Canis lupus familiaris: one gene and its partner. The protein of the gene in region 1 purifies or fractionates together with the protein of each later gene. This does not show direct contact. Links are inferred from orthologs where the notes say so. Each region holds a gene or a part of one and is shown in the gene's direction. Other genes may lie near its edges.

The links. Proteins that work in one complex are often made in the same cells at the same time.
Region 2: the proteins of ZNF830 (region 1) and PPIL2 purify together in Homo sapiens (co-immunoprecipitation; 4 studies listed by BioGRID and IntAct, counting the BioPlex papers as one, with this or other methods). This does not show direct contact. The link is inferred for Canis lupus familiaris from reciprocal best matches to the Homo sapiens genes ZNF830 and PPIL2.

What each region holds. Positions count from the first base shown.
Region 1 is NC_049230.1:38,349,583-38,354,039, reverse strand, and holds ZNF830 (zinc finger protein 830), read left to right. Parts: upstream 1-1,713; 5' UTR 1,714-1,760; coding exon 1,761-2,882; 3' UTR 2,883-3,410; downstream 3,411-4,457. Other genes in the region: CCT6B (T-complex protein 1 subunit zeta-2), read right to left, coding at 1,462-1,598.
Region 2 is NC_049247.1:31,117,691-31,122,185, forward strand, and holds part of PPIL2 (RING-type E3 ubiquitin-protein ligase PPIL2), read left to right. Parts: intron 1-2,668; coding exon 2,669-2,760; intron 2,761-3,597; coding exon 3,598-3,687; intron 3,688-4,495. UniProt on the Homo sapiens protein: Has a ubiquitin-protein ligase activity acting as an E3 ubiquitin protein ligase or as an ubiquitin-ubiquitin ligase promoting elongation of ubiquitin chains on substrates.

The sequences.
Region 1 (4,457 bases):
CAGCAGTTTGGTCAAAAAAGGATACTTGGAAATCTACAAACTACACAATCGTAAATTTCCTGCAAGCTTTTTATTTTGGTGAAATGTTACCATTCATTCACTCAACTTAGTGTCTTCCCTCATCCCTCACATTTATTAGATCGTCGAGTTCTGTTGATTTTACAACCTAAATATTTCTTGAATCTACTCCCTCCTCTCCACGTCCACTGTCGTCAACGATTAAAAGAGAGAATGAGTTCTAGCCTGGACTTAGCATCCTGGTATCTCTGAATTTGAATCTACCCTCCACACTCTATTTATCTTTCTAACACACAGTGTGACCCTATCAGCTCCCTAATCAAAAATCTATGTTCTCCATCACCTTCCAGGTAAAATCCAGACTATTTAGCAATGAGGTAGTTCACCTTTCCCACTCTGGCTTATGTCTGTTTTTCCTGCCACACCTGCCAATGATATCTTGTGGTTCCCTTTTACACATCACGTTTGTTTTCATTTCTGTTGGATTTACACCATTGGGCTTTCTTGTTCCTTAAGTTACTAGGACTTTAGTCCCTTCTCCAACTGGTGAACTCTAACTTATCTTTCAAGGCTCTGATCAAAAATCTGTTGAGAGGGCAGCCCGGGTGGCTCAGCGGTTTAACGCCGCCTTCAGCCCAGGGTGTGATCCTGGAGACCCAGGATCGAGTCCCACATCAGGCTCCCGGCATGGAGCCTGCTTCTCCCTCTGCCTGTGTCTCTGCCTCTCTCTTTCTCTGTGTCTCATGAATAAATAAACAAAGCCTTAAAAAAAAAAAAAAAAAAAAAAAAAAAACCCTGTTGGGAGGCTTCTCCTTCTCCCTCAGTCCTATCACAGGATTCCTGGCCTAGATGCCACATACATACATACCACCCCTTCATCACCTGGGTGCCCAGCATCCGGTTAGTAGACAAGCGCCCTCTTTTACCGTTAATATGAATTCTGCTTACTCCTCTTAGAACGTCTCTCCCTGTCCTAAACATTTTTGTTCTCTTTTCCTCACTCTTCTAAAGAAGATGGTGATGCTACGGAGAGACGCTGAAAGGGTGGCTCGGAAGCAGCGTGGGCACAGAGCGTTCAGACAACTTGCCTAGGGGCGGACAGCTGGAAGGGAGCTTGGATGTGGACCCACACCTGCCGGGCCCAAGGCCTGTGCCCTTAGGGCTGCGACACGGCCCCACAAATCCCCAAGTAAAGACACACAGTGTCAAAGCGCGGGGGAGTTCCGCGGCTGGCGCTTCCAAGGGACCAGATCAGGGGCACGGGAACGTTAACGGACCCGCCCCGGGCCACGGGCGCCCTCCGCGCAGGAGTGACAACGAGGACGACGGGCCCACGGTGCTTCCTGCGGCTCCAGGCTCTCGGCGGAACGTGTGCCCGGGGCGGGCCGCGGCAGCCGGCCAACCCGGGTCCTGACCGCCGCTCCAACCGCCCCGCAGGCTCACATTTTCAGGGTGCCCTTGGGCCCCAAGTTGGTGCGCAGGACATCCTGCAGCCCTCGGGCGGCGCAGATATTGACGGCCAAGGCCGCCTGGGCCCGCGCCACCTCAGCCTTGGAGTTGATCGCCTGGACCGCAGCCATCGCACCACCCGGCGCGCCACCCGCCAGGTAGCGGCAGCCTCAGCCCGGATCCCGAGCGGAAGCCCGTGCCGGAGCCTCAGCCAATCCTCGCCGGGAGCGGAAGTGACGTCGCCAGGCCTCGCCCGCACGGAAGCCGCAATCGCTTCGGGTCGGGGCGCCAAGATGGCGTCCTCCGCCTCCGCTCGCGCTCCCGCGGGGAAGCGAGTTGTGAATCAGGACGAACTGCGGCGGTTGATGAAGGAGAAGCAGCGTCTCAGCACCAACCGGAAACGGATAGAATCTCCATTTGCGAAGTACAACCGTTTGGGGCAGCTGAGTTGCGCCCTGTGTAATACGCCGGTGAAGAGCGAGCTCCTGTGGCAGACCCACGTTCTGGGAAAGCAGCACCGGGAGAAAGTGGCCGAGCTGAAAGGCGCGAGGGAAGCCACCCAGGGACCGTCCTCCAGCGCAGCGCCTCAGTCAGCCAAGAGGAAGGTGCCGGACGCCGATGGCCAAGATGCCAAAAGACTCAAGGCCTCCCCGCTGCCTCAGGTGCAACCCTCCACATCCGCTTTGCCCACCAACTTTGACAAAGCAGGGAAGGAATCCACCAGAGCGACCCTCAGTAAGGCTTCGGGACTCGGTTTACTCCCTGATTATGAGGATGAGGAGGAGGAGGAGGAGGAGGAAGAGGAAGAGGGAGGAGGAGGGAAAGGAGGGGACTCGAGCAAGCCGCCGCCCGACGCACAGGGCAAGGACCACTCGCTTTCCTCCCCGAGGGAGGCAACAAGTAGTATGCTGCCAAGCGGTTTCTCGGATACAAATCCCCCCAAGGCCCCCTTAATTCCCCATTCAGGGTCAATTGAAAAAGCAGAAATACACGAAAAAGTAGTGGAAAGGAGAGAAAACACAGCGGAAGCATTACCAGAAGGCTTTTTTGACGACCCTGAGATAGATGCAAGGGTACGAAAGGTTGACGCCCCAAAGGATCAAATGGACAAAGAGTGGGACGAATTTCAGAAGGCCATGAGACAAGTCAATACCATTTCCGAAGCCATAGTTGCTGAAGAGGATGAGGAGGGACGGTTGGACCGGCAAATTGGGGAGATCGATGAGCAGATAGAATGTTACCGTCGGGTGGAAAAGCTTCGGAATCGCCAGGATGAAATAAAAAATAAGCTTAAGGAGGTTCTGACTATAAAGGAACTGCAGAAAAAGGAAGAGGAGAATATTGACAGCGATGATGAGGGAGAACTACAAGATCTGCTGTCACAGGACTGGAGGGTAAAAGGGGCTTTGTTATAGGGTTTCAAGACCCAAGATTTTTACACCCTCTACAATGGTACGAAAAGTGCTGTTTCTGGGTATGATTACTGGTTCCTTCGTGCGTGGAGATTTGGTGACCTAACTGGGTTGTTGACATACAATGAGCCTGTGAAGATAGCACTTTTGAAAATTGGTGTAAAATATTTTTGAGGTGAGGTTGTTTTTGCAATTTTTGAGCTATTGTATACTAAAATGTCAACTTTTTTCACACGTTAAGTGAATAATTTTGCGTTGTCAAATCTGTAAGCTGTAAATATTGTACCTCGTTAAATATATATTTACTTAAGTAATTCTGTTTTGAAATTTATAAATAAATAGAAGCCAGGCTAACAGACAAGCTTTTAGATAAAAACCAAGTGTGGCATTTGGGATATATGTGTTTTTTCTTTTCTGATCCCCTAAATCAACTCAACTTCCTGCAGCAGGAGGGTTTTGTAGAAAGGTGGGGAAGAGGGTTTGTTTTTTGCTTTTAAGAATACTATTTATAAACACTATAAGTCATTCAGGGCAAATCAGTTCTCTGAGTATTGTTTCTGTTTCAAAAACATGCACTACGAGAACATGGGAAAATATATGACCAAACCTCCTTAACCCAATTGTTTCTCTTGATTAAACCAATGATTCTTGGATGTGATGTAGGTGCACATGAAGATCACCTGCCAAGCTATTGAAAAGGTGCCTATGAAGTACCTTGGAGCTTTTAAAAAATTCGTGTGCCCAGAACCTACCATTAAATATTCAGTAACTCTGTGGAGTGGGGCCCAGGTATCTGTATTAGTTCTGAAAGCATCCCAGGTTGTTCTAGTATATGCCAAAGTAGAAGGGTCATGTTTAGGTCGCCCTAAATCCAGAACCCATCTATATGTTTTCACGCTTTGTTTTTTTAAATACCGCTTTCCATAAGTTTATCATCTACTGTATAAAAGAAATACCACCTTTTAGGTTTCATCCAGTCTTAAATTTATTACATTTCATAGTTAAATAAGGGTTCAGAGTTGCTGTCCATTGTAGGGAGGATAAGTTTTTTCTCAAGGAGTAACAATAAGCTTGTTCCAGTCACTCACGAACTGTTGAAATCACTCCTTTTCCCTTTGGCAATAGAGATATTCAAGCGAAAAAGGAATTAGCAGTGTTCCAGAGGTAGAAATGCATATGGCATACTCAAATGAAAGTGTGTAGTAATGATGATAATAACTAAAACATAGCCTTTACCTTGGTTCTAAGTGGTTCTAGGTGTTTTACATAAACCAAATCTAGTTGCTCTAAAGCTCAGTTGTTGGGGGCCAGGGTGGCTCAGTCGATTAAGCATCTGCCTTCAGCTCAGATCATGATCCTGGGGTCCTGGGATCAAGCCCCACGTCGGGCTCCTTGCTTAGTGGGGAGCCTGTTTCTCCCACTCCCCCTGCTTGTGCTCTTTCTGTCAAATAAAATCTTTAAAAAAAAAGTTTAAAGCTCAGGTTTTATGAATACCAAGAGTTAAGGTATGAAAAAGCCTCACTTGGATGCTAGGTGAAGGAATTATTCCTGTCAGCAGTGTAGGAAAAATAGAAGTTT
Region 2 (4,495 bases), on another chromosome or scaffold:
AATAAAAATGGTTAAAGTGGCAAACGTTGTGTGTACTTTACCGCGATTAAAAAAAAATATATATATATAGTTAACATAATTTTTCCTTAAAGGTCCAGGTAGTTTAAAGCTGGGAGTAGGGTGGAGGATGAAGTGTTGAGTTTTGGTCCCAGAAGGGCAGTGGGGCCATGAGGGCTGCTCACAGCTGCATACAGCTGAGCCCTGTGGGCATGGACTCTGGCTGAAGTCCTGGTCCTCTCATTGCCAAGGGCAGGAGCTGCTCAGGCTGAGGCCCAGGGCAGGTGGGTGCGGTGGTGTGATGGATTTGCTGAACAGTTCTCTGGGTGGGCTTCTCCTCACTCACCTCTGGTTGTGAAGCCCCACCTTCACCCAGGGGTCCTGCTTTCTAGCCCCTGGCACCCTCTGGCCTTTTTATTTGTCAGATGCCAGAGCTGAGATGACCCCCACGGGCACCGACCTTGCTCTTGGCTCTTTGGAGGCCTGGCACAGTTCCCTCAGCCTGTGCAGATGCCAGGTTGAGGCTGTCTGCACTTGCTTGTGTGTGCATTCCGGGAAGGTGCTGAGGCACCTGAAGCTGGGGCCTGACACTCCTGTGTCACCCCAGAGCCTGGCCCACAGTGGGTGCCAGCTCACTGTAAATGAGAGAATGGCCTTGACAGACCAGAAGCACAGTGCTTTGTGGACAGTCCCTGGAGGTTGAGGAGCTCCACGTAGGTAGCCAAGCCCCATGGACCTTCTCTGAGATCAGTCAACTCAGGCCCACAGTGTGTCTCTCATTCAGCACATACTTACTGTTTCTCATGTGCAGAGAGCAAAACAGGTCATTTCCTGGAGTGAAAGGAAGCTTGCATTATGGTGAGGGAGGAAACTGGAAAACAGTTGACCATAGTGTGTCAGATGCTGCCTCTGCCAGCAACTGGATTTCAGGAGCAGGGGAGGAGAGAGTCCTAGCAAGACACGCTGACAGGGTTTGAGTGGGAATCCGATGAGGGAGGAGGCGTGAGATGTGGGGGGAAAGCATCCCACTGCAAAGGTCCTAAGGAGGCCTGTGTTGCTGAAACAGTGTGAGAGTGGAAGCAAGGGGTTGTGGTTGGAGGAGTCTGAGTTGGGGACGGTGCAGAGCAGTTAGTTGTGCAGGGGCCAGGCAACTACGGGTCTCTCAGATGCTGGCCAGAGAGGAGACATGAGATCTGACTATTCACCTGTGTTATTTTCTTTTTTTAAATAATTTTGACCAAAAAAATAGTAATAATTTTGACCAGCAAGCACCTTTTTTACCTTTTTTGTTTTGTTTTAAGTAGGCTCCACACCCAGCGTGGGGCCCCCTGCAGGGCTCACATTCCTAACCCTATGATTAAGACCTGAGTTGAGATCAAGAGTTGGACGCTTAACTGACTGAGTCACCCAGGAGCCCCTTTTGCCTTATTGTTATTTTAGAAGATGTGGGATCCCTGGGTGGCGCAGTGGTTTGGCGCCTGCCTTTGGCCCGGGGTGTGATCCTGGAGACCCGGGATCGAATCCCACGTCGGGCTCCTGGTGCATGGAGCCTGCTTCTCCCTCTGCCTGTGTCTTTGCCTTTCTCTCTCTCTCTCTCTCTCTGACTATCATAAAAAAAAAAAAAATTAGAAGATGTACTTATTTATTAGAGAGCGAGAGCATGGGTGTGTGCTTGCTTGTGAGGAGGAGAAGGGGCAGAGGGATAGGAGAGAGAATCCCCAAGTATACTCCACGCGGAGCATGGAGCCCGATGAGGGGCTCCATTCCAGGACCCTGAGATCATGACCTGAGCCGAAATCGAGAGTCAAGCGCTTAACTGACTGAGCCACCCAGGCAACTCCCTTTTTTTGTTTTTAATTGAAAACTTCAGATGCATGAAAGTAGAGAGACTTAGTACGGTGATCCCCTGCCCTGTAGCCATCACCCAGCTTCAGTTCCCATCCACTTAGGACTGTGTGATTTTACCTGTGCTCCCCTGTGGCACCTGCTTAGGTAATTTTGAAGCAGATGATCAGAAACGTGTCGTTTCATGCTTAAGTACTTCAGTGTATATCTCTAACAGATAAGGATTTAAAATACTTTTTTAAATATAGTACCGCCGTTCCATCTAAAAAGTTAACAGGAATTCCTTAGTGTCATCAAGTAACCCAGCCAGTGGTCAGAATCTGGAATACTTTCATGATCTTTTTTTTTATAGTTTTCAAATCAAGATTTTTAAAAAATCCACACAGTTTTGTGTGGTTGGTATCGCCTAAGTCTCTTAATCTGTAGATACTCTGCTGCTCTTTTTTCATAGTTTGTTAAGACTTACTTGAATGGGCTTTCTGGCTGCCTGGTGTGGAGTCGGCGGGCACGGGCAGGGAGGGCAGTGGGAGTTTGTTGCAATGACACAGCGAGGGAATGGGGGGGCGTATAGGAGGTTGGGGAATGTGGCAAGATCTGAGATGGAGGAGGGGTGGTGGTTGCTAGCAGCGTGTTGGGGGCTGATGGAGCAGACGACTCCAAGGAAGACCACGTAGGGTTTGGGTTTTGCGGGACAAGTAGGAGTTTCTCAGTGGGATTGGAACAGGAGGCTTGAGCAGCTGGCTGTCCCTCTGGGTCTTCGGAGGTTCAGGGCATGCTGACACAATGTCTCCTTTCTCTGGTCTCTTGGCGTGTGTCTTCTTTCTAGGAAAGTACCACTGCCCAGTGCTGTTCACCGTATTCACCAACAACACCCACATCGTAGCCATCAGGACCACCGGCAACGTGTACACCTATGAGGTGGGTTCTCAGGAGCTGCGGCACATATAGGTTCTTCAGGTATATGCCCCAGGTATATGCCTCAGCACCCAGGTGCTGAGGGTGCACCGGGCGCCGTGGGCACAGCCTGTCCCCGTGGAGCTTACGTGCTAGAGCCCTTCCTGTGGCCTCCTGACCTGAAACCTGGGAGGTTGTTTTATACTCGGGGGGTTGGCCCTGCAGTCTTCATCTTCGCTGACCAGGCCCTGGGAGGGAACCTGTGCTCTGATGGCAGGTCCAGGAGAGCGCTGAGCCCCCCCTCTGCCGCCTCCTGCTGGAGTCCCCAGGAGGAGCAGATGCAGGCTGGTGGGCACGCCTGGCGGTGGGCGGCCCCGATTTCCACCCGCATCCTGCTGCTCTGGGCCAGCAGAGAGTACAGCAGCAGTCGCGTGGGTGCTGTGTTGCAGGGAAGCCCTCTCTGAGCTGTTTTCCCACCTGTCCCTGGCTGTTGGCAGGGTCTGGATCTCCAACGCTGCCCTGTGGGGCCTGGGGGTCACTTTTGCCCAAAGTGTGCACAGATTTGGTTGGAGGGACTTGGTAGAGATGCACGGCCAGCGTTGTTGAGCCTGTTTGCTGATGTCAGATGTGTATCATTGGAGTGTCCTTCAGTGAGCTTTGCTGAGATGGCTGATTCGAGTGTCTGGGGCTCGGCAAGCTCCGTCCTCCATGGTGGGGCCACTGCTGTGAGCCCCCAAAGAGTACGTGGTCGTGCCATCCTTTTCTGCACCCCTGGAATGGCGCCAGCCCCTGGGTGGGCTCCAGGCTGCTGGTGCCAGGGTGGGGCAGGCACCATAACAGCGTGCTCCCTCCTGGCTGCAGGCAGTGGAGCAGCTAAATATCAAGGCCAAGAACTTCCGAGACCTGCTGACAGACGAGCCCTTCTCTCGGCAGGATATCATCACCCTCCAGGTGGGCGTCCCCTTGCCACTGCTGTTCCCAGGGAGGACTGGGGTGCCCCCTGCCAACCCCTCCTTCTCGCCCAGGCTCTGGGGCCTGCCTAGTTTTGGTTTCCCAGCTCCTGGGAGCACCCCCAGCTCCAGTGCCCCTGCTATCAGTCTAGGTCTTCACACGGCTGCTCTTCTCTGGTTCTCACACCTCTCCTAATGCCTGTCCTTGCTCTGTCACGGCCACTCATGTCTTCCATGAAAGCCATCTCCGAATCCAAGTGGGAGAGGATGGGCTGGTGTGTGCTCTACCCCAGGGTTGAGCATAGGACGTGCCTTGAGGTGCCAGACCTGAGTGGGTTCCTGAAAGGCCTGGACTTAGAAACTCTAGGGGTGGCCTTCGTGGGCCATTCCTGTCCATGGCTTGTCCCCTCCTCGTCAGAGGTCCATGCACACTCACTCCCATGGGGTTGCTTGCAGTCACCAGAGCCTGAGGACTGCAGGCTCTGTGTCTGGCAGCTGGGCTGGAGGGAGCTTGGGAGGGTGTGTCGGAGGCCTAAGGTGGATGCCCTGTGTCTCCCTACATCCCCATGATGAGGTCTGTCCATCCTGTGGCTGCCTAGCAGCAAAGGATGCTCGTCAGCCATGTGCTGAGGGGCAGGGGACAGAGTTTGGCGTGCAGACCAGCCATTTGTGCCACTGTCCCCACCCTGCCCCTGCTCGTGCCCTTGCCTAGGCGGAGCCCTCTCCTGGCCCCTGCTGCCCTCCATTCCCAGCTCGACACCCCATTCTCTGCTGCCGGCTCACTGTGCTGCACGTGTTCTCTTTGCTGC